Linked DNA regions of Drosophila melanogaster. Changing the gene in region 2 together with the main gene of any one other region gives a genetic interaction. Each region holds a gene or a part of one and is shown on either strand. Other genes may lie near its edges. The genes, in order: nudE and Zwilch.

Region 1 (5,352 bases), on a different chromosome or scaffold from region 2:
ACACTTAATTCGTACTAAGGCATGTTATATATGTTGGGCTCGAAACAACAACATCAACTGTTGTGTAATTCATAATATCGCAAGTGGTTTATACAAAGTCATTTTAGTTCAAATAAATAAAGAGGCAGCAGAAACTTAATTAATGCGAACAGTAACATTAAAGTAACGTAACGTAAACGTAAAGCCAACTGAACAGTATCCCGCCCTAGGTGATTGGGTTTCGGATTTGGGGTTTGTGGATCACGCTGAACTGCAGAATCCACACTACTCGGCATCCAGCGAGAAGCAAGGCAGTCCGGCCAGCGCCGGATGTGTGGATTGCTGGGAGGAGCGGTGTCGCTGCGGCATTGGCTGACCATTCTCGCGGTACGTCTTCAGTTTCGTCTCCATCGCCTAAAAAAAAAACACAAAACGAGAGCGGATTAAGCAACAGTCAGTGAACTATATGAAAAATTAACTATAGAAGGATTTGGGCACATCATATAATAAATAAATTAATGAAAATTTCATTTCGCAACGGTTTGCCCAGTGCAGAGTTTAGTCAGCAAGCCAAGTTATTATGCGCTTTCGAAACTGAATAAATCATAACGAACAAAAACAAAGAACATAAAATAAGGTACAAATAAATTTTGTATTTATTAACCAATGCAATTAATAAATGCAAGCGGAGGGCAACTAAAATTAGCCTTAAAGTTCCGAGCGCATTGTCAGAGCGGCAGGCTGGCGTCCGGCGAGTTTCGCATGCGCTCGGCGAAGCGCCTAAAAATGTTTGAGCCCGCACTGAGGCTTCCGGCGGAGCTGCAATCGCTGGTGGGCGTGGACTGGGCGCTACTGGTGGCCACTGAGCTGCTGCTGCCGCCAAAGGCGCGGCGAAAAAGACTTGCCTCGCTGGCCGATGGCGGCGGCGGCGGCTGCACACTTGCCGGGCGCTCACACATGCAGCGAAACTTTTCGCACTCGGGACATAGCAGTGCCTTGTCCCACTAAAAACATAGGGAAAAACACATAAGCCGATGGTGGGAGTGAAGGGTTCAAGGATCATATGTACATACGAAACAATGGATGAGGTAGGATGGCATGCTGGACTTATAGTTTGCGGAGGGACTTACGTTTAGTTTTCTTAACATGTCGGCCACAATGTTGAGCGCCGTTGTGCGGGAGCTGGGGTTCATGGAATTGCCATTGATTTGATTCTCGGGATCTGCAAGAGGAAGCACACGTACACAGCATGTTAGTCGAGAGGTTAGTTAGGTCAACTACTAGCTACAGACGCAAACACAAATCGTACAAAAATCGCCTACAAGAAATGTTGCAAACTCTTTCGTCACATTTGGGCTCTTAATTTTAATAATTTACAATACAATTACAAATTATGAGGAACTTAAGCGGGCTACATTTTTTGGTTAACAAGTAAAAAAGAAACAAATGGAAAAACAATACTAAATGCATGGCTTGAACGTTTGGCGATTCGTCTTGGACAGTTTTAGCGCGCGTCTGGTTTTCTTTAGGGAACTTAGTATCTTACTCTTAAGCGAATGCTGCTGGTTATATTCGTTTCTATTAACTAAACTGCCATTGAGGGCGTTGACGCTGACGCTGGTGGCTCTTGTGGCGACAGCATTGTCGTGTTTTACCAATTCGCCATTGGCAACAATACCATTTGGCAGCGAGGCGGACGAGTTCATCGAGCTGTTGACCGTATTTGTGTCGTTTGCCGTGGGAACGCTCGTTCCATTGACCACTGGGGTAAAGCGTGACTTGACGTTCAGCTCTTGTTTGAGATCTGCAATAGATTTGATGAATTAGTTTTAAAGTCTGTGCTGGACATCTGGTATAGATGCATCCACCTCTCGTCTCATCCATTAATCGCTGTAGTTTTTCCTGCAGCAATCCCTTTTCATCCACTTCCAGCTCCAGAAGGGCGTTCTTCTCGTAGGCCTGATCCAGCATCTTCTCGAAATTCTCTATGCTTTCGTTAAGTATGCGATGGGCACGTTCCAAATCGTCGTTTTTCTGCTCCAGCTGCCGCAGGTACACCTTCATGGTGTCGCGATCCTTCTTCACCGTTTCCAGCTGTTTCTCCATGTTTGACATATCGATGCCATGCGATTCCAACTTGAGCTGAGAATGAAATAGTTGTAAAGACTAATCTTGTCGGGAGCTCAAAGCCACATATACGCAAACTGAGTCTAAGAATTAAGCTCAGTTTGTGTAAATCGGGCTTAGCTTATAGCTACCTTGAGAGACTCGTTTTCCCGCTCAAACATTGTGAGTTTGGCTGTGAGATCTTTGATTATACTCTGCTTCTGGTCCAGAGTGGCGTCCATTTCTATTTCCATTTCGCGGGACTGCTCCACAAACTCGTCGTACTCCTGTTTCACGTCTGTCCACCTGAAAATTAAAAGTAAAACTAGGCTATATGGCTGATTTCGGAGACTGTAATAGGGATGGGCACTTACTCTTTGTGGTACTGCTTAGATCGTTCCTTCCAATATCTGCACTCATCTTCCACACTATTGAACATCGGGGGCGACTCCATTTCTGCAAATTTTCCTTAGCTGCTAACTCCTTTTTCTGGTTTTTGTGTACTAATCGGCGGTCAAAATGGGTTTGTAATTTCGTTCGTTCGAATTGATTTAACTTTTAATTTCTGAACAATGCTATGTACTACGGTTGGTCTATTACTGTTTGGGTTATTTATTCGTGTTTTTTGGCTGCTTTGTTTTTAATTGCTGTGATTAAAATGCCAAAACACAGTTGTTGTTCAAGTCGTAGTTTTACTTTTTTTTTGTTTTGTGTGTTGGGGGTGGTGAATAGACTAGAAGTCGGCGAAGAAAAGTGAAAAATCAATTAGGAACAGGTGTTTGCCCTGAATTTTGTAGTTACTGTTGCTGTTGTTCTTGTTCGATGCCCTAAAAGGGCAGTCGGTTTTGTCCATATCAAATGTAAATAAAATCAAATTAAACAAAACTCATTTTTGTGACGCAGCTGCTGCGGCAACAACAACGAAAACAACGAGGATGATGGTGATGAGCAGCAGCAACAACAACAACAACAAATAGCTACGACGAAGTTTCCCATACAACAACGCACTGCATGGAAATGAAATCATCGGTGATTTTTTCGTAGAATTCCAGTGTTTATACCTAGAATTTTATACAGCACGACTGTCCACATTTACTACTTACACTTTGCACTTAATTTTGCTACGTTTTGTTTGTTTTATTTACATAAAATCAGTGTAAATAGTTATGCTCGTAAAAATTTACCACTACTCCAAAAACGCACAAGCCAACCCTGGCTTGGGTTGCCAGTGTTGGCCAATAGATGGGCATTTGCCGTTTCCAGCCCTGGTCAACAGTTGTTATTTGAAATTTAATCAACATATAAAGTTTTACTCGGCTTTTTTTTGCGTTTACGTAGTTTTCTTATATATTCCAAATCATATTTCTCTAATGGACGTGCTGTGAACGTTATCGATTTGTTGGCCGGCGCATCGTTGCTGGTATCGTCCGAAATATGAAACTCAGAGTCGGAACTATCTTCAATTATTTGAGCTGAGCTTAGTGTTAAATCACGAGTGGAGCTGGGAGTTTGTGGCAGTGCTGCAACATTTTCGCCAACTACGCGCATGGGCAGCGCATGATAATGATATGATACATTTCGACAGGATTTGCGGCGTAGTTTGTGTTTTCTGCTTGTTTCAAAGTCACTTGAACTTGTGGACGTGTTATCGTCCCCACTATTTGAGCCTTCCCCGCTTACAGAATCCTTATTGTCAATTTTATTGGAGTTTTTCGTGATTTTAGACATATTTGTTTTAAGCCGCGCTGGATTGTTTTGGTTCCAAAAATGAACAATTTTTCGCTGATCTGTTTCTGGTTCTTTACCAAGTACAACGATGTGGCAACTCCCTGGCAGGGCCGCAACTGAAAAATCTCAAACGGGACATCGTTGCCAGATAGCTAGCCAGAGTGTGGCCAGATCGCAGCGACTGCAGTGCATTTTCAACAAAAATAAGGTAAAATATAGCACAATTATGGCCAGCAATTGTTAAACAATTAACGCAATTGCCAGTATTATAACCAAATGTCAACTGTGTGAGTGCGACAATCGAGCTCGCGTGGGCGTTGCACATGCAGCATCATCGAATTGATTAATTGCGGCGCATGCCGAAAAGTGAAAAAAGGGAGGATGTGTTTCAATCAACGCGAGTGAAAACCGCGACGAACGAAGAAAAAAAAAACCAAACTACTGCGGCAATCGTGAACAAAGAGCTCGTTGCGTCCGAAATTATGTGGCACAGCAACTAAACTATTGGATTTCCCACTCATTTTCCAGTTGAAATCAACGCGTTGCAGCAGCCCCCGCAGCAACAGCAACAACAAAACAAAGGCAACTGGAAGTGCAGCCTAACGGGAATTGCTCCAGCATATAGAGATTATAGTCCACACATATAAATATCCATTTATCGGAAGATAGTCCACAATGGCGGATCCAGAGCGACAAAGCCTGATCAACAAGGACGACGGCAATGGCTACAATTCCGTGGACGCCGTGGACGAGGGTGCCGATAATCCCGGCAGCAACTCATCGGTGGCCACAAACGAGGACGGTGCGTATCGTTACTGTAAAGCCGGGCATTCAACCCGCATCCAATCAGCCGGGCGGGCAACCCATTGGAAGCCCAACAAGTGTGCGGGCGCTCCACTTATCCGGATCCAACGCCGTGATTCCGAGTTGTCTGCTCGCCGTCTCATTTGGCATTTTCACACTTCACCCAACTGAGTCATAAATGCGTGTGGTTTGGTGCGGGGGGAGAGCAATGGGACTGCACAGAAAGAAAAACTGATAGGATATGTGGTGCCCAAATGCCATTTTAAATTATCTGCCATTTTTTTATTTTTTAATAGGGCCCAGTATTATTGGTATTACCAAAAATTTACAACCTAATATAAAATTTTCTTATTGGCCTAAATATCAAATGGGCCACGTACACCATAAAAAAAATGTAATTTTATCACGAAATTGTGAAGAGCTGCCAAAAATGTAAAGATCGATTGTAGTTAGTTACTCGACGCCGGTATCGGCAAAATTTTTGCACCGCCTTTGTTATTGTTTATGCTAGGACGCTCGTAATCAGCGCAAAAAGCGTTCCCCACAGCTGTTTAATCAGCATCGATTCGGAGGTGTTGCTATAGTGGTGGTTAAGCGGGGGCAGTCAATGAGTCCATGAGTCATCATGTCATTCGCTGCCTTATCGCAATACAGGGCGAAAATGAGGGTCTGCGATGAGCAGTGGTTCCATTGTTTACCAAGGAACCTGATCTTCAGCTCGGAAAAAGCTTGTCC
Region 2 (4,850 bases):
ATTTAGATTTAGTTTAGCAGGATATCAGGCCATTTTGTTGGCCAATACACACCATTTTGCTGTAAATTAAATTAGACACTCGCGACACTTGGCGATTTAAACAAACTTAATTAAGATTTCACGGGCACTGTTCACTCTTCACTCTTTAGTCAACTGTCCAAAAAATTTGATTTGATTTCCAGCTCCCAGTGGCTATATTCCCTGGCCAGGACACTCGCGTGGAAATCCTTGCTTGAAATTCCGTTCGCTTTTCAGGGGAAAAACAGGGCTGGAAAAAACACGACCGAACCGCTGCGCGTTCCACGCACGTCTGACAAACTGCAAATCAATCAGCGACGGGCCAAGTACTCTAGTTGGCCAACTGGCGCATCCGGCTAATTGGATTGTAACATATCGGGAATGCTCGATGGCGCCGTCACCATTGGGCACACACTCTTTTCGCCTCATTTGCAGCATTACTTCACTGGAGGAATGGCCAAATGCTGGTCATGCTGACCTTTGTATAGAATATGGCCGGCAAAAACACTGTGATAAAAGTGCGAGCAGGGCGGAAGCGGATTTCGGCCAGGTTTTCAAGATTCCCAATGCAGCTGCAATAGCCTCTGGGTCGGCTTAAAACTTGTACGAGTTCGTTTAACATGATTTCGGTGTGCACTGCTGACTTTTTTGGAGGTTTGCGAAAACGCGTCGAAGAGCGTGTTCAACAAGCTCAAACAATTAAAATTCCGAACAAAAAGGTTCGATAGAAAAAAAGTTTGAAAAGTTATAACCAAAAGGCATTTAATTTAATAATACAACAAGCAGTGTTTGAAAAAATTCAACATTTTAAATGTGTCTCAAAACATTATGCAGCTAAGGGACATTCTTGCTAGATATCCATTAAATAAATTATTACAATGTGAAAAAGGCCATTTTAAACCATTCTTAGCCATGCTTAAATTTAAAGAATGTACAATTTTGTATTACTAAGCAAGCCTTACTTAAGTGAGCGAATCTTGTGATATATCCAGGAATGATATGTGCGCTCCTTGACCATCTCCTTGTCTGCGAAGTCAAATATATTACCATAGCTATAGAAAATAAACAAGTCAAAAAGCAAACTTACCATCACACTGGAAACACTGAGCCAAGTTCGGCGGACAAATGTTTTCCGAATTGAAATAGAAGGTGGTCTTTAGTTCGCGGAACTTGTTGTGCGAACGCATGGTAATGTGCCGGGAGTAGGGATCCTTGCCATCCAAGTGATCCCTCACATAGTGGGCAGACAGGCGAATGTCCATAACATCACTTAGCTGATCATCGATGGATTCTACTAATTTAGGCGGTTTCTTCAGCAATTCAGAACAGACATCGTTGTAAACTGTAGGTCAAAAACGGAGTTATAGCTAAAAATCCCAGGATCTGCTTTTTGTCCTTCTTACCATTTGCCAGATTTAAGTGGATGTGCATCATCAGGAGATGCTCTAAGGTGCAGTGAATCTGAAACAACTTTGAGATTCTCTCCGTACTCTCGTGCTCGTCGAAATGGCTGTTTTTGAACCCAGCATCATCGTCGCTACCGGCATATTTTGTACTCCGCGAATTGACAGCGCCGTGATGATGCAGCAGCGTCTTTCGCATTCCAGCTCCAGGGGTCGGATCACCCCTGACCGCATTGTGCAGGGATTTTCGAAGCTGGGGCAGATTCTGGGGAGAACCATCGTCCATCGACGCTCCGCTGGAGTCATCCTTCAACAGATTGGTGCTGCACATCTTGCTCTCGGTGTAGATAAACTCGTAGTCCTTGTACAACTTCTCCAGGCCAATTTCCAAAAGCAGTTCCAGAGGCTCGGCCCCACTTAAACAAGGCATGGCCAGACGACGGTTGGCCAACTCGGTGATAATCTTGGCAAGTCGATTTTTGTTAGTAGGCGTGTTCTATGGGGTGAGGAACATGAATAATATGTGGTGGTTTGCATGCATTAGCATACTTACTACTATGTTACACCGTGCAGCACATTGGAAGAGCATACTAAAGGCAATTTTGAGATCCTTGTAGGAGTGGCAGCACTTGAGCAGCTCCCAAAGCTTATCGGTTAGATCCGTGAGCTGGCGAACCTTGGCCCTCTGCACCACATCTTCGATGTCAAACTCCGCATTGCTGATGCTATACCGACCTATAAGGCCAGAGACATCTGTCATTGTCTGATTAATGGACTCGCGCAGCTCGTCCATGTCAATGCCACTGCCACAACGATAGGTGGGATCCCGAGAGACGCCCTGCTTGACATCCGTGTGGTAGGAGACGATGTCCTCGCGTATGTAGACCAGAATGCGCAGCTGATTCATAAAGTCCTGCGTCAAAGGACCGCAGTCGCCCACGCGAAAAGTGTGATTCAAAGCCACATCGCAGTCGTTCAGGTTCACCAGGAGCGGAAGTGCAGCACTAGAGGTCCAGGAGCAGCGTAGTCTCATGTGGGGATTGACCTGGTAGCTATTTTCAATGAGAGTTTCATCCGGTGTCTTGCCATGATGGCGCACCAGGGCTTGCGAGGTTACTAAGTAAGCAGGGCGCACACCCTGGTAGCTAAGTATTCCCCTGGAGAAGTGCGTAGGGTTGAACTCGTACTGGAGCAACTGAGTCTGCCCGAGATCACTGCCGTCGCACAAAAACCACACGGATCCGAGTCCCTCGGCCAGCTGCAGGAACTCGGAGCACACGATGGACCTAGCCTTGTCCACGGGTATTCCGCGTTGATATTCCTCCTCCAGCTTCCAGGGATTCGAGTGATCCAGCTGCAGGTCGATGGACAAGTCGGCTATGGCGTCCACCAGGCAGTCGTCCTTCAAAGGACTTCCCGTCAGATCCAAGTCCGCAGAGCCCTCTTTTTTTGGGGCTGCCCTGGTGGGCGTGGTCCGGAGTCTCGCCACTGCTCCATTGCGATCCTCCTTAAAGACCAGCACAATCTTCTTGCCAGCTTCCGCAGCCCCCACCATGCTCACCAAGTAGGTGGGTGGCGCTCCATAGGTGATCGTGTATGACTCGCCACACCGCCGCATTAGCTCCGCGTAAACGTTTGCCAAGTTCGCAGAAGCCGACATTTTTGGAGCAAATTCGCAAAACAGAAACAAAAAGCGGCAGTATTTGAAAAGCGAAGCGAGAATTGGTTAAACGGTCACACAGCACTTCGCTTTTTAGTGCACCTCAATAATTTTAGCAGTAAGCCGCGTGAAGGTCACACTGCAACATCGATAGCCGATAGACTTAGGCCAGCAACAATCGATAATTCTTATCCCCGCACGTGTTGAAATTGTTTTCTTTTATTTGGATCAGATTTAATTTAGTTAATTCAGACATGTCGGACTTTGAAATGGAGGACAGTGCCTCGGGCTACGACTCAGGGGATAACTCAGATGCCGAGGTAAGTGAGGAACCGAAGAAATGAACACCCCGTATACCAAAATCTCCACTCTTTTCCTGCAGCTGCAAGCGGCATTTGAGCGAGGCGACTTGAAACCAGGCCTAAATGTGGAATTCAATGGCCAGAGAGACAAAGTGAACGATGTGGTAAGTAGCTAGCTGGATGCCCGCTTTTGAATCGACTAATCCAATCCTGCCCACATAGACCAAACTGCTGGCCAAGACAGAGGCTATCAAGATGCAACTGCCTTGGCTGGAACGCCTGGACATGATCAACACACTAGCTCCACTGGCGCCGGAACTCGCTGTACAGCTGGAGAAGCACGAGCAGAAGCGGGCCAATCTCTTCAAGGGCAACGCCAAGCTGCCCTACATTCGGCCCGAGGAGGATCCCGTCCTGAATGACTTCAAGAGGGAGATGCTCTTCCACCGACAGGCGCAAAGTGCTGTTCTGGAGGCCATTCCCCGCCTTCACGAGCTGGGCATAAAGACTCGTCGACCCGATGACTACTTCGCTGAAATGGCCAAGTCCGACGAGCACATGCAGAAGGTGCGCGCCAACCTGATGGCCAAACAGCAAGGACAGGCGAAATCCGAGCGCATCAAGCAGATCCGCGAGCAGCGCAAGATGGGCAAGATGCTGGCCAAACAGACCAAGGTCCAACGCGAAGCCGAGAAGAAGGACATGCTGGACAAACTGAAGAAGTTCCGCAAGGGCAAGCTGAAAAACCTGGACTTCCTGGAGGACGCCAAGGCGCTTGAGTCCAAGCAGAAGCAGTCAGCCGAGAATCGCAAGAAGCGCAACAAGAAGTTCGGCTTCGGCGGCAAGAAGAAGGGCCTCAAGAGGAACACAAAGTCCTCCTCCGCGGGATTGGATGGCGACAAGTCCTCCAGGCGCCAGCGGGGCGTAAAGGCAGGTGCTTCGGTCAACAAGCGGCTTGGCAAATCGCGACGCATTAAGGCCAAGGGCAGAAAGTAATCCCCGGGACTGCCGACTATATTTAGGTGACCAAACTCTAGTTTTATAAAGCCCCCAATCCTGTATAGATTTTTTAGACCCATAAATACATAACATTTTGTGTGCACACAGCCTTACTTTCGAAATGTGGAATACTCCGTATAGAATTTTAGAATTCCATGAGCAATTTTCATAAATTACATTTTTCTAACATCGTTTATTCTAAAGTGGACTATAACTATTACACGTTCTCCTTGTTCTTTCGTTTCTTTTTTAGTTTTGTGCTAGTTTCCGATTCCTCCGAAGAGTCCGCCGTTTTTCGCTTCTTTTTTGACTTTACTTGTTCATCAGTTTCAACATCCTGGGGCAGTCCTTCAGTTGCTCCAAGCCCTGCTTGCCTATCCGCTCTCTTGTCCTTCTTCTTTTTTATCTTCACTGGCTCTTCGACTTCCACACCGTCTTCCTCTCCCGGCTCCCGTGTCTTATTTTTTT

Evidence for each region.
Region 1: of Zwilch (region 2) and nudE, changing one suppresses a phenotype caused by changing the other (phenotypic suppression), as found in Drosophila melanogaster (one study listed by BioGRID).

Annotation. Positions count from the first base shown.
Region 1 is NT_037436.4:9,897,192-9,902,543, reverse strand, and holds nudE (nudE), read right to left. Parts: upstream 3,304-5,352; 5' UTR 3,189-3,303; exon of another isoform or gene 3,157-3,188; intron 2,819-3,156; 5' UTR 2,540-2,818; coding exon 2,460-2,539; intron 2,392-2,459; coding exon 2,238-2,391; intron 2,122-2,237; coding exon 1,848-2,121; intron 1,784-1,847; coding exon 1,526-1,783; coding exon of another isoform or gene 1,440-1,525; exon of another isoform or gene 1,347-1,439; intron 1,202-1,346; coding exon 1,110-1,201; intron 984-1,109; coding exon 708-983; 3' UTR 632-707; downstream 1-631. Other genes in the region: CG46387 (uncharacterized protein), read right to left, coding at 3,376-3,813; CG6707 (uncharacterized protein), read left to right, coding at 4,489-4,615. UniProt on the Drosophila melanogaster protein: Chaperone protein with functions in nuclear localization. Required for centrosome duplication and formation and function of the mitotic spindle.
Region 2 is NT_033777.3:31,210,209-31,215,058, forward strand, and holds Zwilch (zwilch), read right to left. Parts: upstream 3,169-4,850; 5' UTR 3,082-3,168; coding exon 1,975-3,081; intron 1,918-1,974; coding exon 1,422-1,917; intron 1,361-1,421; coding exon 1,106-1,360; intron 1,045-1,105; coding exon 977-1,044; 3' UTR 758-976; downstream 1-757. Other genes in the region: chp (chaoptin), read right to left, coding at 53-55; CG1542 (uncharacterized protein), read left to right, coding at 3,336-3,401, 3,464-3,547, 3,606-4,379; CG15561 (uncharacterized protein), read right to left, coding at 4,600-4,850. UniProt on the Drosophila melanogaster protein: Essential component of the mitotic checkpoint, which prevents cells from prematurely exiting mitosis. Required for the assembly of the dynein-dynactin, Mad2 complexes and spindly/CG15415 onto kinetochores.